7 linked regions of the Coturnix japonica genome follow. The protein of the gene in region 1 interacts with the protein of each later gene in a pairwise test. Links are inferred from orthologs where the notes say so. Each region holds a gene or a part of one and is shown in the gene's direction. Other genes may lie near its edges. The genes, in order: RASSF1, STK3, LATS2, STK4, MAP2K3, SUV39H2 and AKT1.

Region 1 (4,090 bases):
CCCGCTCTCAGCCTTACGGCAGCTTGAGGAGCGCCCCGGGGGTGGGCGCGTCCCCCTGGGCTCCGCAGAGCAGACACAGCCCTGACGTGCGGCTCCCCCCGCAGGGCGTGCCAGGTCCAGCACTGGCAGAAGCATCGCACTGCCTGCGACCTGCTGGCACAGGCACCGGGCACTGCGGGCACACAGTGAGCAGGGCAGGGGCTGATTGTCCTTGGAGAGATGCCCGCAGGTTCGCAGCCTCGTGGGGCTCAGCCTCCCCGTCCCCCCCACACAACACCCCCACACAACACCCCCGCTCCTGCTGCACCCCGCGGGGGCTCAGCTCCCCCTCCTGTCTCCTCTTTGAAGAAATAAACCACTTCCTCCCCTCCCTCGCACCCAGCGAGAGGTTTGTGTGTGTTGCTTTTTACCCTATGAGGCAACAGGAAGCCTGGAGAACTTGAAAATGAGCGAACAAAGTTTGGAAATGGAGATCAAAACGGCCCGGCCTGCTGTCACCGAGGCATGGGCTCACTCACATCGAGCTCCTCCAGGCATCAGGAGAAGGGCTCAGCATCACCTCCACTGTGAGAGCAGCAGGGCGGTATCAGAGGATGTGGTTAGTGTGGAGCTGAGCAAGCTGTGCTGCTCGGGTCTGTCAGCTGCTGAATGCAGAGAGAAACCATAGAATATCCTGTGCTGGAAGGGACCTGCTGGGATCACCAGCTCCAAAGCCCGGCCTCATGCTACACCACCCAAACGTTAATGTCTGTGAGCAATGTCCAAATTGAGCTGCAGCAGCTCGGGGCTGTGAGCACTTCTATAGGGGGAAACGAATGGCCTGGGTGTGATTTTAATGTTGCTTTTGTCCCTGCTTTCAGCTGAAGGGACTTAGCACTGAGGAGTCGATCCCTCGGCTGCCGTGTCGTCCCAGGGCACCCGGGAGGAGATGCCGGTGGGGTCACAGGGGCACTGGAGCTTTGGGCTCGGGGCAGGAGGACTCCCCCATCCGCAGTGCTTGAGGGCTGGAGCTCGGCTCTGCTGCCTCCTTGGCATTTCGTGGTGGGGCCGGCTCTGAGGATGGGGCCGTTCGCCGCCGTCCGGTCCCGCGGTGCTCGTTTCCGTGGGGCGGAGGTGGGAGGGGGGGGATCCCTCTGCCCCCGCCCTGAGCTCGGGGCTGAGCGCGGCCGTTCCAGGGCAGCCCCCGGCGGAGAAACTGAGGCGAGGAGCGGGGCCGCCCCGGGCTGCGGGGAACGGGGCCGGCCAGCGCCCCACACACCCTCCCCCGTCCCCGCCTCCCTCCCGCCCCGCCGGACGCAGCCAGCGGAGCCGCCGCTCCATCGGCCCTCGCCGGGGCTCTGCCTCAGTTTCCCCCGCGGGGCGGCCGCCCCCTTTCCCGGCCCCCTCCGGGCCATGGAGCTGATCGAGCTGCGGGAGCTGCAGCCGGAGCCGCGGCCGGGCCGGGGCCGCCTGGAGCGAACCAACGCGCTGCGCATCAGCCCGGCCCGTCGGCACGGCCCCGGAGCGCGGCCCGAACACAGACCGGCGGCACCGAGCACCGGGCATCGCTTCGAGCCCCGGCGCCGCGGGCTCCACACCTGGTGCGACCTCTGCGGGGATTTCGTCTGGGGAGGCGGCAGGAAGAGCCTCCAGTGCCGCCGTGAGTATCGCACCCCGCCGAGCATCCCCCGGGCGCTGCGCATCCCCCATGAGCGCCGGGTGTCCCGGTACCGAGCATCCCGGTACCGTGCAGCCCCCAGGCAGTGGCTGCCCTGGGACTGGTATCCCGGTACCGAGCATTCCCCTGGGCACTGGGCATCCCAGTACCGGGCATCTTCCCGGGCACCGAGCATCCCAGCACAGAGTACAGGGCATCCCTCCCCTGGCACCAGGCATCACGTATCCTGGTATCAGACCCCACTGCCCCGAGCATGGGGCATCCCTGTACCAGGTTAATACTACAAAGCCTGGGCAAACTATATGGAGCATCCTCTCAGGTACCAGCTGTCCCCGGGCTGAGCCTCCTGCCACCAGACATCTCCCCGGCCATCCTGGTAGCAGCCAGGCTGTGGGCGCCCGGTACCAAACAAGCACTGAGCAGCCCAGTGCTGAGCATCTCTGCCCAGGGCACCCCCGCTGGGTACCAGGCATCCAGGCACTGAGCTCCACAGTACTGAGCACTCCCACCTGGCACTGGGCACCCCAAAATGGACACTGCAGTCCCAGTATTGAACATCCAAGTAGATCATGGGCATCCTAAGTACTGAGCATCCTGGTCCTTAGAACCCGGTACCGAGCATTCCAGTACCAACCAACCCAGTACTGAGCATCCCGGTACCACCCCCCTTGTTGCGGGTATCCCGGTACCAAGCACCTGCTCAGGTACCAGGCATCCCATTGCTGGGTGCCCGCACTGTGTGACCAGGCAGGGGACGTGGGCACCTCGGTACGGCCCAGCAGCGCCGGGTGCCACGCTGGGTGCCCTGGTACAGCGTGGGCATGTGGGCAGGTGGCACGGCCGGTGCGTGGGGTCTGCTGGGGCCGTTGTGCCCATTGTGTCCTCTGCCCCAGACTGCAGCTTCACCTGCCACTACCGCTGCCGGGCCCTGGTGCGGCTGGACTGCAGCGGCCCCCCAGGCACCGGGGACGAGGACGATGGCAGCGAGCAGGAGCTGGAGAAGGACACGAATGTGGTACGGGACCGCGGGGATGGGGGGAGCGGGGCGGACGTGGAGGGAGCGGGGACAGCCCAGGCTGGGCCGTGCCAAGCCAAGGGGCGCCGAGCCGTGCCACGAGAGGCCGTGCTATGCCAGGCTACGGCACGCTGCGCCATGCCGTGCCATGCGGTGCTGTGCCATGTGGTGCTGTGCCATGCCGTGCCGTGCCAAGCTCTGCCGTGTCGTGCCCGCAGCAGCCCTGGGACCGCAGGGTGCGTGGCCCGGGTGAAATCACCGCCGGAAACGGGGCCGCACCGCCCCCGGCCCGCGTCAGGCCAACGGCCGCGGTGGGGCGGAGCCGGGCTGAGCCGGGCCGGGCAGCGGGAGAGCGGGAGAGACGGAGCCGGGTGGGACTGAGCGAGGAACCGGGCCGAAACGGGACCGAAACCGGGACCGGAGCCGAGACTGAAACCGGGACCGGGAAGCGGGACTGAATCGAGCCGGGACCCGAGCCGAGGAGCGGCGCTGAACCGAGCCGAGCCGAACCGGGCGAAGCGGGCCGTGCGGAGCCGGGCCGGAGCGGGCGGGCTGGCGCGGGGCCGGGCGTGCCCCTGTGCCCGGGCCGGGGCTGCCGCAGCCGTGGCCGGGGTAGAGGGCGGCGGCGGCGGGGCGGGGTCCGGCGGCTGCGGGGCGGCGGGGCTGGCGCTGCGCTGGGGCGGCGCGGGGGGCTCGGGGGGCAGCGCGGCCAGCAGCGGCTACTGCAGCCAGGAGGACTCCGACTCCGAGCCCGAGCTCTTCTACACCGCCCGCACCTCCTTCGGCCGCCGCCCGCGTCGCCGCCAGGTCGGTCCCGGGCCGGCCGTGACGTCGTGGGGCTGACGTCATGCGGGGGGCACGGGGCGTTTTTTGGGTGGGAGGAGTTCGGGGGCACTTTGCACGGGGACACGCGTGGGAGCGAGCGCGGCTTGTTACTGGGGGGAGCGGGGGGGGAAAGCGTGCTTTGCTGGGAGCGAGCTGCCCCCATCCCCACGCAGGTCCGGCAGCCCCGGCCGCTCCCGGCCCCACAGCACCGTGAGGACACGTGCGGCTGTGCGGACCTATGTAAATAGTCATTAACAGACACGGGCGGGCTGCCCCGAAGCCTCGGGCATCCCCATGGGGCACCCAGCCTACCCCGGTGCCGGGCTGGCGGCTGCCTCGGGGACACCGCTGTGATCTGGAGCGCTGGGAGGGGACACCCCGGGCTGTCCCGGCTGGGAGGAACGTGGGTTGGCATCGCCATCCGTCACCCCACCTTCACGGCCATGGGGTGGCCATCCCGGCGTTGGGGACAGGCACGAGGCCGTGGTGCGATGCGACCCTGTGCTCAGCACGGCATCCACCCCGCAGGATGAGCCCAGCAGCTGGGAGACGGCGGAGCTGGACCCGGCGCAGGTGGAGCAGCGCATCAAGGA
Region 2 (3,500 bases), on another chromosome or scaffold:
CTGTTGATTACTTAATGTGTTCTTGGGCTGTGGTATTACCCTGACTCACAGGAGGAATGAGCCTCAAGGACTTTCTGATTAGGAAATTCCAAATGCAGTATATGAGGATATCATTTTTCTTTTGGTATTTCCTAATTCATCTAATTACATTTTCACACCAATAAAAATTGTCGATGGGAGAATCTTCATGAAATAAATGATTGCAGCCAGAACTTCATTATAGGACCCAAAATTTTGGTCCCTTTAAGCATCATAAAAAGCAAATTCTGTGTTGACTTGCTATTTTGCTCTTGTTTGAGGCTTGGTCCTCTGTTCAATATTGAGCTTGACTACAGCAGCTGGTTATTGTTCTGATATATCCTTTCAGAGTAAACTGGTTAACAGTTATGGTAGAATTTATTGGACTGTATGTGTAGTGTCCACTTCAGAAATGGCTACTGAAGGCTTCCCGTGGTGATGCAATTTGTGGTTTATATTTCTACTATAACACCTTCAGTGCCACTCCCCATTCTTTAGTTGTGTAGATAGCATGTTTGCTGTGGCTTCTGATTTCACCCAGGGATGTGGAAGTTGTCTCGGAGCACTGTGTGAAAGGTGAGGCAAAGCAGAGTCGGTCTCAAGGCTCAGATGTGGAAAGGCCAGTTTAGGACAAATTGGGCATGGTTTGTCTGTTAGGCAGGCAAAGATAAACACTGATTAAGTTGTCATGGTCACTCAGGCCTCAGTTTTGACATCTCCCAGCTTAGACATTTATTTATGAATAAAAGAGTGATTAAATAGTTAAAACTGAAGATTAGGAGTCATTCAGTCTAACATCTCAGCTGGATCTGAGAGTACCAGTCTGTCTCAGATACACAGGGAAGTGTGGAAAGTGATGTTGAAGGTGTGAGAGAGAAGAATTAACGCTGTGTCTTGCTTTGTAGGCCAGAGCCTTGACTGTGGAACCATTTCCCTGAATGTTTCCTTTGGTTGGCACTGCCAGCTTAGCCCATGCAGTTAGGTGGGTGGTAGCATACATTAAGTGTTTGCAAATACTGTCTTTGTAGTGTGTGTGTTGTTTTTTTTTCTAAACAAAAATAAATAAAACCAAACAAAAACCATTGGCATTAATAGGTGTTGGAAACACAGCATAAGGTGAAAGAAGAATGTAAGTAAGTCCTATCTTGGCAGCCATGAAAAACAGTAATTGAAATGCCTTAGTTTTATTTTAAAATGACTGAGTTCTGTTGAGATAGAAAAGATGTATTCGGTAATAAATGGAAGAAAAAATGATGAATAAATTCCCGTTAGATAAGAATTTTGGTTTTATTCCTGGTGATCTGGAAATAAGTTTATAATTCTCCAGTGGTTGATTTGCAAGTTTCTTGGAAGGAAACAAAAGAAGCTGGAAGTTAAATCATAGGCTTCCTTTGAAGGTGAAAGGGAGCTTAACATTTTGCATAGGAAAGTGCAAGCCAAAATTAGGTAGTGAAGGGGCAAGATGGATTTGAATATAACCTCCAGCATTTCAGGCTAAGTAACGGAAGGGAGTGATGAGAGATCACAGAATTGTAGGGGCTGGAAGGGGTTTCTGGAGATCGTCCAGTCCAACAGCAGTTTCTCTACAGGAAGTTGCACAGGAAAGTGTCCAGGTGGGTTTTGGATATCTCCAGAGAAGGAGACTCCACAGCATCTCTGGACAGCCTGTTCCATATGGGAAAGAAAGGTTCACACTAGAATGTGTGTGACATAATTCACAAGTTGGACTGCACATTTGGAAGAAGGAATTAGTTACTAAATATGGCCTTGCATTAAAAAAAATGGTAGTGTAATCCATATATATATTCTTTTCAGATAATGACAGCTCATGTCACATACCAAGATCTAAAAAAACCTGTAGTGTTTGTATTTATGTATGTATTTCTGAAGTTGTCACTTCCAACAAATTTACAAAGCATGACTTTGTTTTTAGGATCTCGACTGTAGCTGTAGAATATCTTCTTTTGTAATTTTTATTGTCTGCTGTAAAAGAATGATTCATGGTTTCCATCTTTCTTCTCATTGTCCTTTGTAAATTATAAAAATGTCCGTTCTTTGCTATGATTCTTCACTGCTGTGTAGTTGATCAAAAGAGTTTGCAGAAGGAAATAATTTCTCCAGAACTTTGGAGCTCGGTAGAATTCCGGAGCTAAGCTTTGGTTATGTGCTGGGACATAAGTCAATGCTCATTGTCAAATAGGAGGTATATGTTTTGATACCATGTAAACAGAACTTACTGGTTTTCTGTTATGGCTGTGTGCTTTCAATAGCTACTGCAGAGCTAGCTGTTAAGAGTAGCTAAAGATAAGATTAAAATCATCAGTTCAGAGTTCAGATAGGTCATTACTTTCAAGGACAGGAGCAGCTGAATTTGTTAGCCACACCTTTACCAGAAGCACTTCGCCTGTACTGACAATTTTATATCGCAAGTAAGTAATTAAAGACAATTACAAGGTAATAGAGAGCTACTACTCCAATCTGAGATCACATGTTAGTTTGGCAAGGCTGTCCACTGAAAATATAAAGCTGCTGTAAAATACACCAAAGTTTATTTAAAAAAAAAAAAAAAAAGATATATTCTGATCCTCTAGTTTTTGAATTAGACAGCATTAGATAGTAAAGTAAGCTCTGTAAATATTAGATTTAAAATGAAGTATCTGATACTGAAATATTTTTTCATTAAAAATGCACTACAGAGTTCTTATAGTGTTCTGCCTGGTTTCTGCTTCTCTTCAGCATATGAAAAAAATTTAGAATGAGGATTTTGTACAAGTTAAACAGGCTTTGGAGGGCAGTCGAGCTTCTCAAGAAGTTGTGGATAAAATCTTTGGAAGTTTTTTCTCCCTTTTTCTCTGTTTTTCAAGCACAGTCTGAAGCTTCTGGTACTAATACTGTGCTAATGGTAAAAACTACAGCCAAATAGAGCGTGCAGCAGCAAGTAATAGACCCACCAGCCCTTCTGAGCAGCTCTCCTATAAAACTAAATGGAGCTAAGAGATGAGAAGGTGAACTGTGCTTTTCACAGAAACTTTTCAGGATCTGTTTGAAGAAGCAATACCATTACTGAGAATTTCTGAAAGAAATCATATCCTGAGACTGATGAACAGTAATAGATAACGTAGAGGGTGATGTGCTCAATGAGATGCAGTTTAAATAGAGAAAATAGAATGGGAAGTAGCTACATTAGTAGCAGATGGATTTACATCCTGAATCTCTGTCTGAGTGGAAATCCTACCCTGCTTGAAATTTGTCTTCCAGATTCTTAACTTGATAAGAAAGGTGGATAAAGCACTTTATTTCCTTGAATTCGGTACTGTGATGATGTGCTTTGTTTCAATTTTCTGTTGTTCTTGCTTTTTATCTAGGCTATTTTTATGATTCCTACTAATCCCCCTCCAACCTTTCGGAAGCCGGAGCTCTGGTCTGATGAATTCACAGATTTCGTGAAGAAGTGCTTAGTGAAGAATCCTGAACAAAGAGCT
Region 3 (3,500 bases), on another chromosome or scaffold:
CCATCAGCAGAAAACATACCCTGCAAGTATTGAATCTTCTGTGATTAATTATCCTGTGTCTAATCACAACAGCCCAGCCTTGCAGCTGCAGGCCTCCCATGGCTCCAGCAGCCAACATTACAGTAGGCAGCACATGATGGTGCAGGGGGAACCCATGGGGTATGGTGTTCAGCGGAGCCCATCCTTCCAAAACAAGATGCAGCAGGAGGGAGGCTACGCCAATCTCCCAAATAAAGGGGCAGTTGTTCAGAATAATGCTAGTCATGCATTTCAGCAGGCACCAGCAAGCCTGTATATGTCACATTCTCATCACAAACAGACAAGTCCTCCCTCCCATCAAATGCACGTGATATCTAGAGGTCCAGCATTTGGTAACGATTTTTCAGACAGCCCACCACAAAATCTATTAACTCCATCTAGAAATAGCCTAAACATGGACCTCTATGACATGAATAACCCTCAAGTTCAGCAGTGGCAGGCAGCAACGCCTTCACGGCGAGATTCTTTACAAAACCCAGGAATAGAATCATCTCCACGGCAACACGTGTCCTTCAGACCTGATGCCTCAGTGCCAAGCAGAACAAACTCCTTTAACAACCATCAGCAACAACCGCAAGTGACCGTGTCTATGAGACAGGTTCCTCCAGGAAAACCTGATCCTTCCATTGCATCTCCAAATACAATCACAGCGGTCACATCTGCTCATATTCTCCAGCCAGTGAAGAGCATGCGAGTGATGAGACCTGAGCCTCAGACTGCAGTGGGACCTTCCCATCCTGGTTGGTTACCTGCCCAGGCACCGGCCGTGGATGGCCTAGAGATCATTGAACAGCACGTGCCAGCTGTTGGAGCAGCCAACGCCTATCAACTAGATGTGGATTATGGTAACCAGGAGCTGCGGTGTCCACCACCACCGTATCCCAAGCACTTGTTAATTCCCGGCAGCTCTGAGCAGTTTGATATCAATTGCTTATGCATGGGTGTGGAGCAGACCCTGCGTGTAGTCCCCAGTTCAACGTGCAATAAGGCTGAGGAGAACAGTGAGAGAAATGACAAAAACAGCAAAAACACTAAAGCTGAAAAACCAGGCAAGGATAAAAAGCAGATCCAGACATCTCCGGTGCCTGTGAGAAAAAATGGCAAGGATGAGGAAAAGCGAGAATCCCGAATAAAGAGCTACTCACCATTTGCTTTCAAGTTCTATATGGAGCAACATGTAGAAAATGTCATAAAAACCTACCAGCAGAAAATCAACAGAAGATTACAATTGGAGCAAGAAATGGCTAAAGTAATTATTATTTTTTTTTAATATAATAAATAGGGTCAAATTAATTATTACTATCTTAAGTCACTCAAAAAAAGGTATAAAGGCGAGTTCTCTGGGAAGTGATAATAGCTGTTCAACGCCTCCCTTTACCAGACTGTTTTCACTTAGAGGCCTGGGTGCAGATCTGGGAGACTGTTTGAAAAAGCTGAGACAGGATGTAGTATGTCCTCATACAAGAAAGTAAAATAAAGCAGGGGCATCCACAGTAGGAAAGTATTACGTTTGCATAGGAAAGGACTCAGCAGCCAGGTCTGAGACCATGGTAATACTGACAATACTTTCCAGCCCTTGAAAAAATCTGAGAAAGGCTTTCTCTTTGCTCCAGTTCTTCCTGCCTATTACATGATAGCAGCTGCTTATTCACCAAAGCCACAGTTTAACTTGGCAGTAGATTTACTATGCTATATTTTCCCTTGAATATGTAATACCTGACTGAAAGTTGTCTCTTGAACATATGTTAGTAATAATACCATGCAAGTAATCATCTCTTGGCCAGCTGAAATGATCTTGGGATCCTTGCTGGGATTTGTTCTAGGCGCGGGTCTCAGTGAGGTGCACTTTGAGAGCTTCATTCACGTCTCGTAGTAGCGCTCAAACTGAGCTGACTCACTGATAGGGCTGTCTGAAGGCAAGCTGCCAAGTTCTGATGATTGCTCTGGCAGTTCTGTTTGTAATTTTTAAACATGGAAATTTTGTATTTTTTCTCCCTTCAGGTGCCATTAGCTAGAATATGACTAGTCTACTTTTGTGTTTAAGGATAAGCTTTAATGAAAGCTATCATTAATACATGATGGGTAATAACTTACCTGACCTTCCTTAGAACTGGTTAGGGTCAATTAATTTGATTCTCACATTGCTCTCCCTCTATGGAAATATTCAAGACCTGTCTGGTGCATATCTGTGCATCTGTTGTAGGGAGCCTGCTTTAGCAGGGGGGTTGGCCTCAGTGATCTCCTGGGGTCCTTTCCAACCCCTGTGATTCTGTGATTCTGCTCAAGAAAATCTGGTGGTTTGCTTGCCAAGGTTACATTTGATGCTTCTAAAAATCTCTTGAAAGGTCAATATAGTGGTGGTAGTTCATAGTTTGTCCTCAGTGCAACTATAGGTTGTGTTGCACTGCTTGGATTTAGTGAATATTTTCCTAAGACTGAGAAAGTTGGGGAGCAGTCTCTAAAGAAGTAAGAAAAGAAACTAATAGCATCAGTTCTGTTTTGGCCCTTCAGCTTTTGCTCACTTCATAACTCAAAGATAACTATAAACAAAAAACAGCTCCTTCCCCTAGCAACCTCATTTCTGGCTGGAATAACACACCACAAACTCAAGAGATTTTGGCCATCTGAATATCGCATTATTCTAGAATTAACCAAGAATACAACACAGTAATTGTTATGCGTTAAAGCAATAAACGCTTCCTTTAGTATGGATTGAGGTACCCTACCTGTTCTGCAAGTTTTTTCATCCTTAATTCACATGGATTTCATTTTTATGCTGTGGGGATCTTGCTGCTTATTCTGGCTGCCCACCTATCATCCTTAATGGCCTCGATTGCAGGTGTGAAATGAAAACTTCAGTCAAAGCAGCAGCCTTATGGGTGAATACTTAAGGGGTCTTTAGCCTGCTTCTCAGTCAGCTTCATCTCCATCCACCATTTCCCCCATTGCCTCTTCCCATCACTCACTCTTCCTCTCAAAATGCTTATTTTCACTTATTTCAGTTCAAGATAAATGTTATTCAAAAGGAGGGGGGTCTGCTGCAGACAGGGAATTCTGAGGATCCTGGAAATCAGCGCAGGGGCTTCTGCTGGTGAAGGCTGCTCGTGTTCTCAGACAGGCACTGAAGGCAGAATTGTGCAGGCTCTGTCTTGAAGCATGGGGGAAGTCCAGCTGGTTAATTCTCCCCCTTTCCAGGAGATGTTCCCCTTCAGACATGTGAAATGTTACTTTTAATTACCGTAAGACTCTATGGGGACAGAAGGTGTCTGGACAAGCCAGCTTTGTTACTGTTCAGGTTCAAAGGGAAAAAACATACATTTAAAAGAGAAATAGGATCTGGATCTTGGCTTCAGTGTATGGGAGGAGGCCAGAGCTGAGGGTTGTATACATATATTTTGGGAGGGAAGTTAGGGATCTGCCAAGTGTGAGAGTGGAGGTTCTGTACAACAGAGGAGGAAAAA
Region 4 (3,500 bases), on another chromosome or scaffold:
TCTGTTCTTTAGCATTGTCCTTGCTAAACCATACAGTTCTCTCTGTTAGCTTTTTTGCTTTACCTTTTCCAAAGGATAAGTGGTCATTCTGACTGTGCCATACTTCGTTGTTCACCCCTTGGGCAGCCCATTAGTTGACTATATGGGAAAGATGTAGGTTGTACTTAACATAAGTTGCATTTCTGAACTGATTAATAGAGTAAGAAGGTGAAGGTTCCTCATAATGACCACAGTAGCAGTTTTCCAGCTTTTGACCTTATTTAATCTTTCTCTTTGGTTTCAGACACTGCAGCAGCTTTACCAGGATCTGCCATGGTCTGTTTCTCATTCCATTGATGCCCTCCCTACTTGTTTGCCACAGTTCAGGGAGCAAAACCAGACTGAAAGCTAATTGCTCCTTTTCCGTTTCTGCAGGATTTACTTTCAGACGTTTTAGCCCCCTGAGCTGCCTTTGTGACAGGTCACAAGGACACCACTGCTAGGACAGGCCTGGAGGGCTGTGGTCACTCACTGTAGACTCAGGCTGGTGTGAAACACTTGGTCAGGGCTTCAGTGGCACTTCCATGCCTGAGTTTTTAGAACCTGCTTAGGGAGGCTGCAGTATTCTTTGCCTTTGCTTATTCAGTTGTGCTGCTCTCCAGTATTTGACCCTTTGTTCTTCTTTTTTCACGTTTCATAGCCCTCATGTGGTGAAATATTACGGCAGCTACTTTAAGAACACAGACCTGTGGATCGTCATGGAATACTGCGGCGCTGGATCCGTGTCTGATATTATTCGGTTACGAAATAAAACTGTACGTAGTCTCCTCTGAATGCTGGGAATGGGGAGCAGGAGTGGTAGCTCAGGAAACTAAGTGGCATGTGCAGTGCTTTGGGTATAATTCTCATAGGTGTTTAACATCTAAAACAATCATGGGCCACCACTGCAATGTGGGTCCTTTGTTCCCCTGAAGATATGGAGGCTCGTTATGTTGATCAAGTTTGGGTTGTTTGGTTAATGCAATCAGTTTGCATGGTTTTGATACGGTGTTTGGTTGGCTTTCCTGAAAACCCAGATGGATTCAGAATTGACAGACTGCTTTGCCTTGCTCTGGCTTTGCAGGGTAAGAATTAGTAGGTGTGAAAGGCTGTGGTGCGGATGTGTAAGGATGCTGATCGAAAGCTAATTCTCATATGTAAGGCTGCTACCTTGGAGTATGTGTACTTCCCTATTAGTATGGCAACCTTTAATGAAAGCAATTAAATAACTATATCTCAGGGAGGTATAAACTGCGACACCACTGTGTGCCATCTCGGAAACCGAGAGGTTGAGAGTAACACTTCTTTTTAGCTTACAGAGGAGGAAATTGCTACGATAGTACAATCAACACTGAAAGGACTGGAATACTTGCATTTTATGAGGAAAATACATAGAGATATCAAAGCTGGAAATATATTGCTAAATACAGAGGGACATGCTAAGCTTGCAGATTTTGGAGTGGCAGGACAACTCACAGTAAGTAAAACCAAGATGATTATGTGCACTTCAGTTCTTCTTTCTAACGTACACATAAGCATCATGTGCTTGTGGAGACCTTGAGACATTCAGAAGTGTTTTTAGCACTTTACATCAACATAATGAGACACTAAAGCAGCAGCAAAGCTTCCTCTGTGGGAGCTGTTAGGCCTAAGTAATGGTTTGTAATAATGTATGCTGTTTGCTTCAGTTCATGTCTGACATCTGCGAGCATATTTCAGTTTCTCTCTGCAGCTTTCCATATCTTTATCTTGCTTAATCTGGTAATATATGTGTGTGCAGGTGGAAGATAATTAGGATTGTAAATGTGTGCTCTGGATCTTTATCCTGCTCTTCTTTTCAGGATACCATGGCAAAGAGGAACACAGTTATAGGAACTCCATTTTGGATGGCTCCAGAAGTGATTCAAGAGATTGGATATAATTGTGTTGCAGACATCTGGTCGCTGGGAATCACTGCAATAGAAATGGCTGAAGGCAAACCACCATATGCAGATATTCATCCTATGAGGGTGAGGGCTGTGACTTTAAAATGCATTGCGATGCAAAAGTGATTTGCTATTACAGCTGGGTGAGTGATGCATCAAGATGCCATCTTGTTTATAATTTAGAGGATATGATTTGCTTTCTGTCAGTTTGTTGTGCTGTTGATTAAATGAAAGATGGAGGAGGAAAATCATGATCCTCATCTATCAAGGCACAGCTGAAACTTCTGCTGTTGAGTGTGAATACAGATACTTTATGCTGTGGATCATACAAAATGATTCTTTATCTTGCAAGCAACCACATATTTTTATGACTTTAAAATGGCAGATTCACACCTCTTGGTGCAGATAATGGCTCAGACAGACGTGTAGGCTTCTAGTGAGAACAGCCTGATTTGTTGTTCCATCCTCTGAGCAGCTTAATGTATAAAATATTGGTACAAACTCTTCAGAAGCAGCAAACTTGAACCATGTATCATTCTTTAGTGCCTGTGGATGTTTTGATTCATTTTTGTTAGGAGGTTTTAAACTCTGTTTGGAAACCTGGAATATTCTTCTCTTTTTAGGCAATCTTCATGATTCCTACCAACCCACCCCCAACGTTTCGGAAACCAGAGCTCTGGTCAGATGCTTTCACGGACTTTGTGAAGCAGTGTCTGGTCAAGAGCCCCGAGCAGCGTGCTACTGCAACACAGCTCCTGCAGGTCTGCCTTGTCTTGGGAGAATGGGAATGTTAGAGAAGGCTTGCTGTAGTGTAGGCAGTGCTGCGCCTATTTGGCTGATGTAAAAACCCTGTACCCAACTTCAACCTTTCAGTTCTTCCTTAAGATCTAGTCTGAATCCTGTCTTTGTGGATGCTTTTGTTTGTTGGTGTTGTTTTTTTTTAACCTTCAGATTCTCACCAGCAATGCCAAGTAACTGGCTCTTAACCCACCAGAAAGGAACTAGATGAACTTTAAGGTCCCCTCCAACCCAAGCTATTCTGTGATTCTAAGTAACTGCTCAGAATGGTGCATGCATTTGTAGTTGGTTGTCGACAATTGAGCTGGTGAGGAATAAGTAGTGCTTGTGTGTGGGGAATGAGCCCCAGTAACCCCATGGTAATGATGTTCTACTGCTCTGTGTTAGTTCAAGTGCAGTGCTTACTAACTTTAACATACCACACAGCATCCATTTGTTAAGAGTGCCAAAGGAGCATCAATCCTGCGCGATTTGATTAACGAAGCGATGGATATAAAACTGAAACGCCAAGAGGCACAGCAGCGTGAACTGGATCAAGAAGATGAAGAAAATTCAGTGAGTATTTAATAGCTACAGTATACAGAGCTCAGCCTCTTGGACCTCGCATAATGCTAAGCTGCTTTGTTCCTTATTTTTATAATGTATTGTTCAGCTGCCCATGGGTTTTATATGATTCTTGAGTTTTGTACTTAGGGCTGCTTAACTTGATGTTTGAGCTCTGCTCAACCTTTATGTTTGAATGGGGCAGTCAGCAAATAT
Region 5 (2,273 bases), on another chromosome or scaffold:
CTGTTTAGGGCTGTTGAGCTGCAGGACTGATCCTAGCTTTATTCATTTCTTACATCCCATCTCTTGGCCCAAGAGCTGCTATGGGCTTTTTCCTGCTGGAATGAATGGTGGAGCAGGAATAGCTGCAGCAGTTTGGCAAAGATCATCTTAAGTTGTATTCTAAAGCTCACTTCCTCTTGGGCTCATGGATCTCTTTGTGCCTAGCTCATACAGCCTGCAGCCCAGAGGGCAGGTCATGGTGAGATGAGCACTCCAGAAGCCAGAGCAGAAGTAGCATCAACACTGCTTTGACATCTTTTTAAATAACCCTGTTTTACATAGATTTGTCTGCTTCCTGTAAATGCATTAATTTGCTGAGCAGGCTTCAAAAGGAAGTTTTTGGTTTTTTTTTGCCTTAAGGTCTTTGTATTACAAAAATGGGGGTAGGGGAGAAGGCAGTATGACCCGAATTGAAAATGGTTTGTTAGGAGGGAGGCTTTTCAACTTGAATCTACACTTGTGCAGCCTCTGATGTGGGGCAGCCCCAGTGTCTCACAGTGTCCCTGTCCCCAGATCGAGTTGGCCATCCTGCGCTTCCCCTACGAGTCCTGGGGCACCCCGTTCCAGCAGCTGAAGCAGGTGGTGGAGGAGCCCTCACCCCAGCTGCCTGCCGAGCGCTTCTCCAAGGAGTTTGTGGACTTCACGGCACAGTGGTGAGTGTGGCAGAGACTGGGCTGGTGTGTGAGCAAAGTGCAGGGCTGGGGTTGGCTTTGGAGCCTGGTTCTCCCCTCCTTGCTGTAACGAGCTGGTGTATCTGCTGCAGCAGGATTGGGTTTTGTTGCCCAAAGGGGTTTTGCTCTCAGTGTGACTCATTCAGGCTGCTTGGAAGGCACTGAGGTTTCTCTTCCCGTTTTACCATTGGCGCTGCTCAAGTGTTGGTGGTTTCTGGCAGTGTGGTGGTGGAACAGCCCTCTGGCAGCATGTAGGTGCCTCTGGGTGAACCTGGTTTGTGGTTTTGTGGGTTCCACATGCAGGAGCTGCTCCCCTTGGGTGCCCCCTGCTCCTGGCCTGCTTGGAGGTGCCCCCAAGCCCTGGGATGGGTGGTGTGATGGGAAGCTGCCTCCTCTCCTTCCCAGCAGGGCTGCGTGTTTCTGGGTTTGGCATAACCCCAAATCTGCCCTTGTGGTTCCCTGCCTGTGTGCTACAGGGCCACGTGGTTCAGCTCAGAGAGGAGTGGGAGTGGGTGCTGCCCATCCAAAGTGAGGTGTGGTTGGGGAAGGGGGAGGTCTCTTCAGATAGACCACATGTGGGGGGGGGGGAAAAAGTATAATGAAAGATCCTACAGCCTCTTTTTTTCTTTCTTTTTTTTTTTTCCCTTCAGTTTAAGGAAGAACCCCGCTGAGCGAATGAACTATTTAGAACTTATGGTAAGTTTGGGGGCTGTGTCTGCTGGCCTTCATCTGGTATGTGAAATGTGTTGGGGTAAAAGGGCCTGGCCAAATGGTACAGCAGGACACAGGGGTGATTTCCAGGCACACGGTGGGATGGGCACAGTGTGTCTAAGGTACAGCAGTGTATTGAGTTTTGTGGGTGTTAAGGGGAAGGTCAGCCTGTAGGTGATGCTGGTGCCCACTTGGCCAGTGCTGTGACACTCCTGGGGCTGCTTTTGAACTGCTCCCTGCTGGGCCATGACTGATGCCTTGCTTCTTGTTGACAGGAGCACCCCTTCTTCACCCTACACGACACCAAAGAGACTGACATGGCCTCCTTTGTGACAGAGATCCTCGGGGAGGACTCTTAACTGGAGCCCCACTGTTCCATGCAGTCCCCACGGAGGAGCAGATGTGGACTTGAATTCGTGGTGGTTTGCACAACTTGTGTTTCTCAGCCCCCGGACAGCTCTGGGCACAGCCCCCATCGCAGTCTCTTTTCTCTTTGCCTGAATTCTTCGAGGAAGAGCCTTGGAAGCCAACACCTTCACCCTTTCAAATGCTGGGGGCACAGGGAGGGGGATGGTGCCCACAGTGTCCAACCTCGGCACCGTGTGTGGGGGAACTTCTGCCTTTCTTTCCCTTTGCTGCCTGAGGTTGGCAAAGAGAAAATGCTGCTGTGCTTCTGCCCCCAGCCCCTTCCCCAGCATTTTGCTTGGCTCCCTGCCTCACGTTCCTGAGCAGCACTGCAGGAGGCTGCAGGGCTCTGTGGGCACTCTGCTGTCCCTGCACAAAGCCATCTTGATGGCATCTGGGTGACCCTTCCACACAGCCCCAGGCCTGGCACCCCCTTCACTGTGTGAT
Region 6 (3,986 bases), on another chromosome or scaffold:
GTTACTGCCTTTTAAAAGGAGTCTTGGGAAAACCCAAAGCCTGGTTCTGTCAGGGAAGCGCTGTCCTTATCCCAGTACTGTTGCACCTTTCTTCTCTTTCTACCAGGCTGATGAGCACAGGCTCGTAGCCCAATGTTCCCTAAGGGCTTATATTGTACCCCCTAAGTATGTATATGTATGTAACCTTATATGTAACCCCCTAAGGGTTTATATTGTGCCTAATGGTACAACTTGGGGGAGGTTATGGGGTTTTGGATTGGGTTTAAAGCTACTTTGAGCTGCGAGCAGCTCTTCTGAGAAGCGTGTCGTGATGAGGGAATGCTTTTATGTGTTTAAAGCGTCTGAAATCGTTCCCTGTGACTGTGAACTGTAACAGGGCAGTGTGTTCTCCTGGAGGCCTTTTGTCCCCCTGCCCCTGTGTTGCTGCTGAAGGAGTGCTGTAAAGAAAGAGTGGCAGCACGGGTTTTTCGTTGTTTGGCTTACAACCAGAAAACAATCTGAAAACGTGAAGGTATCACAGAATTGTAGGGGTTGGAAGGGATCTCTAGAGATCATCGAGTCCAACCCCCCTGCCAAAGCAGGCTCCCTACACCATGTCACACAGGTCGGTGTGCAGGTGGGTCTTGAATATCTCCAGAGAAGGAGACTCCACCACCTCCCTGGGCAGCCTGTTCCAGCGCTCCGTCACCCTCACTGTAAAGAAGTTCTTCCGCACATTCGTGCGGAACTTCCTATGCTTTAGTTTCATCCCATTACCCCTAGTCCTATCCCCACGCAATACTGAAAAGAGACCAGACTCACCGCTATGGCCCCCACACCTCAGGTATTTATAAACCTGGATCAAGTCCCCTCTCAGCCTTCTTTTCTCAAGGCTAAACAGACCCAGTTCACTTAGCCTTTCTTCATAGGGGAGATGCTCCAGGCCCTTCACAATCTTAGTGACCCTCTGCTGGACTCTTTCCAAGAGATCCCTGTCATTTTTGTACTGGGGAGCCCAGAACTGGACACAATATTCCAGATAAGGCAGAGGGGGAGGATCACCTCCTTTGACCTGCTGGACACGCTCTTTTTAATACACCCCAGTATTCCATTGGCTTTGTTGGCTACAAGGGCACACTGCTGGCTCACGGCGGGTCGAGGAAAAAAGCCTGGAAGCAGAACCGACGTGGAACCGCCCCGCCGCCCTGTGAGGATCAGGCGCGCGGGCGCCGGTAGGCGGCCGTTCCCATAGCGCCGCCCTTCCCCCTCCCCTCCCTCTGCCGCCGCCTGCGGCCCTGCGCGGCCCCTCCAAGATGGAGGGCTGGCGAGGAGGTGAGGGCGGCGGCGGCGATTCGGGCCGAGAAACGGGATGGGGACGGAGCCGATCTCCTCTCCCTTCTCCTTGTGCAGGGCGGGCCGAGTGGGAGCGCGAAGGGAGGCGGTGGGAGACAACGCGGAGCTCCGCGGGATCGTTCCGGCCGCCCGCGTGTGGCGCTGAGCTGAGGGGGGACGGCCCGGGGCCTCGCGCGCTCCCTGAGGCGGGATTGGGATGGGGGGCGGGGGGGGAACGTGGGGGAATTTGGGGTGAAGCGAACCCCAATGATGGTTTCCATCGAGCCGAGACATTAAATAGGATTCTTTACCCGATTTTCTTATTGTAGCTTGGTATGTGCCATGTCTGGCTTCACGTGAGACCCTCCAAGAATTATGTAGGAAGGAAAATCTGATATGTAAATCCATTGGAATCACCAACAAGAGTCTAAAGACTTATGAGGTGGAATATTTGTGTGACTACAAGGTAGAAGAGGTAAGAGAAACACAGACCGAACCTGATTGCTCTTTCAGCTGAAATTTGGAAGGCAGACCGAGGTAGCTGTGCTTATGATGTAAAAGCAGCAGGCTGCCAGTACGAGGCTGTTGATGACACTGAAGAAAATACCTTCTGAACTTTGCAAACAGAAAGTGGCGTAGTTAAGCACGTTCGGTGTGCTGAAGTGTGCCTTGTTTTCCCTGAAATTATGGCAGTTTGGGGTTATAAAATGTTTCACCCGATATCCAGAAGTAAAGCAAAACACTTGACGCTTGTAGGTTGTAACTTGTATTCTGATGCTTCTCTGTTTGCAGCTGCATATATGTGCAGTGTTGTTGACTGAAAAGTTAGGGCTGTGTGCTGCAGCTGGATTCCTATGGCTTGGTCTCGCCATTGAAATTCAGCATCAGGATTTGACCTGATTGAGTTGATTTTTCCTTTTCTCCCAGTTCTAATTGTTACGTGGCATCCTTTCTGTACCACACTCTGTTAACTCTAGCACTGTGTCACGTTGTCTTTTGGTAGATCGAATGGTGGCTAAATCCTGTTATCTGTTTCTGTATTTCAAGGGCAAAGAATACTATCTTGTGAAATGGAAAGGATGGCCAGAGTCTTCAAATACTTGGGAACCTCAGAAAAATCTGAAATGCCCAAAACTTCTTGAAAACTTTCTTAGTGACAAGGATGAATATTTATCTCGGATGAAAGGAGGCAGAGCCCTGAAAGTGAGAAACAGTGTTAAAGCTTTGAAACCTGCCGTTGCAGATTACATTGTAAAGAAGGCTAAACAAAGAATAGCTCTGCAGAGATGGAAAGAAGAACTCAACAGGAAAAAGAATCATAGAGGAATGATTCTGGTAGAAAACACTGTGGATCTTGAAGGTCCTCCTATAGACTTCTATTACATTAATGAGTATAAACCTGCTCCGGGAATAAATGTAATAAATGGAATAACAACTGGCTGTGAATGCTCAGACTGCCCTGCTGAGAAGTGCTGTCCAAAGGAAGCTGGTTTTATTTTGGCTTACAATAAACGAAGGAAGCTGAAAATCCAGCCTGGCTTGCCCATCTATGAATGCAATTCATTTTGCAGGTGTGGCCCTGACTGCCCTAATAGAATAGTACAGAAAGGTACCCAGTATTCTCTTTGCATCTTCAGAACTAACAACGGCCGAGGTTGGGGAGTGAAAACCCTCCAGAAAATTAATACCAACAGTTTTGTGATGGAGTATGTTGGAGAGGTATGTGTTTATCTCATATGGATTATTTTGAAGGAGAATGCAGGTGAAAAACATAATGAGCTTTCTCTCAGTTCCATCACTTCCTGACTTCAGCTCTACTTTTGAGTAGAAGAATATACTGAATAGACGTTTGAGCTGGCAGTAAGATTATATTATCCAAAACATCCTCCATTCCAGAGGCTGGATATGAAGAGAACACATCTTTTGTGTCAGTAAATAAGTATTTTTGATAATTATTTCAAAATTCTAGCATCTCTAAAAATGGATCCTCCTTTTCTTTTTTGGCAGTTGTATTCCTTGGGGTTTTTTTCCATATCTTTATTGTAGTTCTTTCTGTTCCCCAGGCACAACTATTACCAAACTCTGCACCCAGTCAGTCCTGTTTCTGTTCTGTCCGCGTAGCCTGTCTCGAGCTATTTCAGAACAGAACTTGAATGCTGTAAAATACAGAGTCTGATTTCCTCTTGAGATCTGATCTTACTTTGTGTTACCTGCTTCAGCCTCTGTTCTGCTTCACGGCCCTTTGCATCAGCTGCTCTTGGCAGCCTCTCTGATCCTGTTGCGTATCTGCTTTGCTAATACGATGACTCAAAAAGAACTCATTCTGTCCCTGCTACAAATGTTTATGGTCTTGACTGTCTTATCTCCATGCTTCCTGCCCCAGATCTTCTAACTCATCGGGTTTGTACCCTTGGAATTGATTCCTACAAACATGCAGGAGGCTCGTGTGATTGCAGAACTTTGTTGCTTAAAGCAAAGATGTGGCCTGGCAGAAAAATTCTGTTACTTCGAACTCTGTTACTTTTTGTATCAGTGCTGCTGCCAAATGGTAATTCCTTTGCTGGTTGTGCACCATGGAATACATTGAATGCAGTGGGCTGCAGACAGAGTATTTAAAGCTGTGGCTTCTATTGAACATTGCTGTAGTTCTTCTGTTCCTTTGGGGATCCTCTGGA
Region 7 (3,500 bases), on another chromosome or scaffold:
GGAAGAAGCTTACCCCTGATGTGAGGGCCTTCAGTATTGCAGCCAGTGTGCAAGTCCCACAGGAGGGAGGAAGGGAAGTATTTCATATTGGCTGCCATTTTACAGCCTTGCAGTGGGTCAGGTGTTAGGAGGGGAGTTCTGGCTCATAGGGCTGAATGTGGGTTAGTCATTTGGTGTGTGTGTGTGGGTGGTCTTTTGTGATGTGCAGAGTAGCCCTTTGAGTAGGAGCAGGTTAATACAGGGATGATTGTGATGTTCAGTTTGTTGCCTGTGAAGTAACAGACCGATGGGCTTTTCACCTCTTCCCAAAGTGGCTCCTTGATGATGTGTGTGTGTGTGTATATACATACTGTTCTAAATGGGATCTCATTTAAAAAAAAAAACAAAAACACACACACACACACACACACACACACACATATATATATATATATGTATATATATGTTTTAATGAGATCCCACTTGGAACAGTTTGTGATGAATAAGTGAAAATTCAGCAGCTGGCTCTGTAATGTGAGAACAGTCCTCAGCCTTTGGGCTTTCAAAGGTTCTGCTTACTTACCATGGATGTAATGAGAGGGGGGAGGGTGGAAGAAGGAAGAGAAGAGGAAAGTTGACATAACGTGCACACTTTCTTCTCTTCCCCATCTTGCTCATCTACAGTGCTCTCCTTTGTCTCCTTTGACCTTTGTTTTCAAGGAGGATCTTCTGAAAACACTCTGTGCTAATAGATTCAGCTGTGTAATGCGAGAACATGAAATTTGCTGGTGTTAATTTTGCCTCTTGAGTTCATTCCCAATGTAGGAATGCCTTCTAAAGCCTTCTCCTTACCCCTGTACAGGTGCTGGAAGATAATGACTATGGTCGTGCAGTGGACTGGTGGGGATTAGGAGTTGTAATGTATGAAATGATGTGTGGCCGGCTCCCTTTCTACAATCAGGACCATGAAAAGCTCTTTGAACTCATCCTTATGGAAGAGATTAGATTTCCACGCACTTTGTCACCTGAAGCAAAATCTCTCTTGTCAGGCTTGCTGAAGAAAGATCCTAAGCAGAGGTGAGACTGTTTCTTAATATTTGTGTTTTTAAACACTTGTGCACTCAGAAGTAGCATAATAAGTCAAGGAAAAATGTATTTTAAGGCCTTCACAAGAAAAGTTAATAACTTTGCTACATAGAGGTATGTCTGTGAAAGGGAGCTGTTTTTTTAGGCAAGTGACTTTAAGTGGCTCTTCCTGTGCTGCCATTTAAATGATCCATATCTCCACCATTGAGAAGCAATTGAAGAGGATTCTGCCCAAGGGGATACTGAATGCACTCATGCCAGTATTTCTGTATTTCAAAATGAGGAAGGCATTTTGGATGAAATTCTGGATTTGTTTTTAACTGGCACAAAATTATCATCCACCAAGTAGAGCTGAGGGATGTAGCGCACAGACCTATTTGGTTTCAGCTTAACTTTTGACTCAAGCTGGCTTGCAGGTGGCAACGTGAAGCAGTTTTGTTGATCAGAAGCTTGACCTTCAGAATATGGTGGCTGCCAACTATGGCCTGGGACAAAGCAAGTTAACCTTGCTTTTGGTCATAATTAATCTGATCGTTGCTGTGAGTTATCAGCTGCTCTGCAGTAATTCTTTTACCATCTATCCAAGTTTGGGCTGCTTACAGTAAGCTTTCTGAATTTTCTGTTCAGTCAGTGCCAGTGATCTGTCATCCTGCTTTGGACAGCAGGTGGTGGTGTTAGTACCATGTTTATGGTGGAATTCATACTGTGCTTTAATCTACTTTTCCCATTTCCTCCTTTTGTTTTGAAAAAGTAACCTCTGTCTTAATACCAAACAAAAACAACGTCAGCAAAAAAAAGAAAACCTCAAATCCTTAATGGCTAACAAACAAAATGTAACAAAAAATAGAACAGGATCCAAAAAGGATGTTGACCTTTGCACTAAGGGTAAACATCAGTCTGAAAACCTGCTATCTTGTCAGCCCAGACACTTTTTAAACAAACGAAGATAGTGACTCTGAACCTTCCCACCATAAAAGAACTCAAGCTAGGAAACCTTTCACATGAGGTGTAGGTAACAAGTATCCCAGTTTTTGTGATGTTTGTTTAGTTGGTGCGTACACACACACTTAACGTGAAAATGGTTTTTGCCAGTATTGGATTTCTTGGAGCAGGGATTTTTGTCACAGGAGTGGACTGCTTCCATCACTGCTTTCAATTGTGTGATGGATTAGCAACCCCCTGGGTACTCCACACAGCAAATGTGGCTGCAGCCCCTGCCAACGGGATTCCTGTCTAGAAAAGCCCTGGGTTAAATACAGTTGTGACCCTCTTGTAGCTTATTCAGGTGGTGCCTTTCAATCTCTGGAAACACAAGTAGCATCTGCTGTAATTTGTTCTTAAAGGAGCATCTCTGATGAACCAAAATACAGTTTGTTTACAAACAAAGAACGCCCACTTGTTTCTGATTGCAAGGTTTCTCCAATGCCAATAATTACTCCACAGCATGCTCATTTTATACAAATAGCCACTTCTTCACATGTATCTTCAGCAGGCTTGGAACCACTGATGCTCTGATGTGTTGGACAGATGATTTTCCTGCTGCTGATAGAAATAACTATAGAGTAGAGAAGCCTGCACCTTGCTAATTACACCGTGCCTCCCCAAGCTTTTTGGATCGTGGACCATTCTTAAATACTGGTTTCTCCCCAATCACTGTACATTCAGCTTTTGAATTGCAGTTGGGATTCTGCAATGCAGTGCACTGGGTGGCGTTTCAGGCAGCAGGGAGAGGTGAGCTGGGGGCACTGGGAGGTGGCAGTCCTGAGTCCTGCCCTGCCCTTGTTATGGGTTTTACTGTCAGCTGTTCACACGGTGTGGTCTGTGTTGGGGTGGGCGCCTGACAGATGTGGTGATTGACTCATTATGAGGTCATTCAGCCACGTTAAAGGAAAACACCCAGATAGCCTCAAAGTACAGTCAGTTGAAATTACGTCATGCCCAGCAGTCCATTCCACATTAGCCTATCAATGATGTTTGGGGGAATTCGTGTAATTCAACAGAAATCCCCTCCTTAGCAAAGCCCAGTGGTTGGCAAAGTTGGCTTCATTGTAGGGTCTGTGGCAGAAAGCATCATCACTTGCATTTAGTTACTGCTAGTGGGCTTGAGAGTGGGACAGAGATGAGCAAAAGGAAAATGAAACAGGGACGTATTCTCCTTTCCAGTAAAATCCCTCTCACCTCAACCCCCAAAAAAGTTGAAATAATGAAACTCACTGTAAGTTGGTAATGAATTGTGACCGGAGTTGGTGAATTAAATCTTACAAATTACCTGTTGTACGTGAGCTGGAAATAGAGGAGCAGTGTTAGCGTTCTGCTTTTGGTAATAGCAACTCCCAGGCATATGGGGAAAATATGAAGAACAGTAAATTGCATTCTGCTTTTAATAATAGCTGTTTTCTAAATTTGGTCATATAAAATCCATTTTGTAAGAGAAA

What was found.
Region 2: the proteins of RASSF1 (region 1) and STK3 interact in binary tests that used the Homo sapiens proteins (3 or more experiments, as listed by UniProt). The link is inferred for Coturnix japonica from reciprocal best matches to the Homo sapiens genes RASSF1 and STK3.
Region 3: the proteins of RASSF1 (region 1) and LATS2 come close enough for resonance energy transfer, tested with the Homo sapiens proteins (2 studies listed by BioGRID). The link is inferred for Coturnix japonica from reciprocal best matches to the Homo sapiens genes RASSF1 and LATS2.
Region 4: the proteins of RASSF1 (region 1) and STK4 interact in binary tests that used the Homo sapiens proteins (3 or more experiments, as listed by UniProt). The link is inferred for Coturnix japonica from reciprocal best matches to the Homo sapiens genes RASSF1 and STK4.
Region 5: the proteins of RASSF1 (region 1) and MAP2K3 come close enough for resonance energy transfer, tested with the Homo sapiens proteins (2 studies listed by BioGRID). The link is inferred for Coturnix japonica from reciprocal best matches to the Homo sapiens genes RASSF1 and MAP2K3.
Region 6: the proteins of RASSF1 (region 1) and SUV39H2 interact in a two-hybrid assay, tested with the Homo sapiens proteins (2 studies listed by BioGRID and IntAct). The link is inferred for Coturnix japonica from reciprocal best matches to the Homo sapiens genes RASSF1 and SUV39H2.
Region 7: the proteins of RASSF1 (region 1) and AKT1 interact in a protein complementation assay, tested with the Homo sapiens proteins (2 studies listed by BioGRID and IntAct, with this or other methods). The link is inferred for Coturnix japonica from reciprocal best matches to the Homo sapiens genes RASSF1 and AKT1.

Annotation. Positions count from the first base shown.
Region 1 is NC_029527.1:644,760-648,849, reverse strand, and holds the start of RASSF1 (ras association domain-containing protein 1), read left to right. Parts: upstream 1-1,290; 5' UTR 1,291-1,392; coding exon 1,393-1,639; intron 1,640-2,550; coding exon 2,551-2,672; intron 2,673-3,371; exon of another isoform or gene 3,372-3,479; intron 3,480-4,025; coding exon 4,026-4,090. Other genes in the region: ZMYND10 (zinc finger MYND domain-containing protein 10), read left to right, coding at 105-189. UniProt on the Homo sapiens protein: Potential tumor suppressor. Required for death receptor-dependent apoptosis. Mediates activation of STK3/MST2 and STK4/MST1 during Fas-induced apoptosis by preventing their dephosphorylation.
Region 2 is NC_029517.1:115,667,934-115,671,433, reverse strand, and holds part of STK3 (serine/threonine-protein kinase 3), read left to right. Parts: intron 1-3,383; coding exon 3,384-3,500. UniProt on the Homo sapiens protein: Stress-activated, pro-apoptotic kinase which, following caspase-cleavage, enters the nucleus and induces chromatin condensation followed by internucleosomal DNA fragmentation.
Region 3 is NC_029516.1:159,847,422-159,850,921, forward strand, and holds part of LATS2 (serine/threonine-protein kinase LATS2), read left to right. Parts: coding exon 1-1,288; intron 1,289-3,500. UniProt on the Homo sapiens protein: Negative regulator of YAP1 in the Hippo signaling pathway that plays a pivotal role in organ size control and tumor suppression by restricting proliferation and promoting apoptosis.
Region 4 is NC_029535.1:4,579,260-4,582,759, reverse strand, and holds part of STK4 (serine/threonine-protein kinase 4), read left to right. Parts: intron 1-679; coding exon 680-794; intron 795-1,330; coding exon 1,331-1,495; intron 1,496-1,859; coding exon 1,860-2,027; intron 2,028-2,566; coding exon 2,567-2,704; intron 2,705-3,167; coding exon 3,168-3,296; intron 3,297-3,500. UniProt on the Homo sapiens protein: Stress-activated, pro-apoptotic kinase which, following caspase-cleavage, enters the nucleus and induces chromatin condensation followed by internucleosomal DNA fragmentation.
Region 5 is NC_029529.1:4,536,324-4,538,596, reverse strand, and holds part of MAP2K3 (dual specificity mitogen-activated protein kinase kinase 3), read left to right. Parts: intron 1-552; coding exon 553-692; intron 693-1,360; coding exon 1,361-1,406; intron 1,407-1,696; coding exon 1,697-1,780; 3' UTR 1,781-2,273. UniProt on the Homo sapiens protein: Dual specificity kinase. Is activated by cytokines and environmental stress in vivo. Catalyzes the concomitant phosphorylation of a threonine and a tyrosine residue in the MAP kinase p38.
Region 6 is NC_029516.1:6,623,582-6,627,567, forward strand, and holds the start of SUV39H2 (histone-lysine N-methyltransferase SUV39H2), read left to right. Parts: upstream 1-1,186; 5' UTR 1,187-1,292; coding exon 1,293-1,311; intron 1,312-1,640; coding exon 1,641-1,786; intron 1,787-2,358; coding exon 2,359-3,030; intron 3,031-3,986. UniProt on the Homo sapiens protein: Histone methyltransferase that specifically trimethylates 'Lys-9' of histone H3 using monomethylated H3 'Lys-9' as substrate.
Region 7 is NC_029520.1:46,930,118-46,933,617, reverse strand, and holds part of AKT1 (RAC-alpha serine/threonine-protein kinase), read left to right. Parts: intron 1-841; coding exon 842-1,056; intron 1,057-3,500. UniProt on the Homo sapiens protein: AKT1 is one of 3 closely related serine/threonine-protein kinases (AKT1, AKT2 and AKT3) called the AKT kinase, and which regulate many processes including metabolism, proliferation, cell survival, growth and angiogenesis.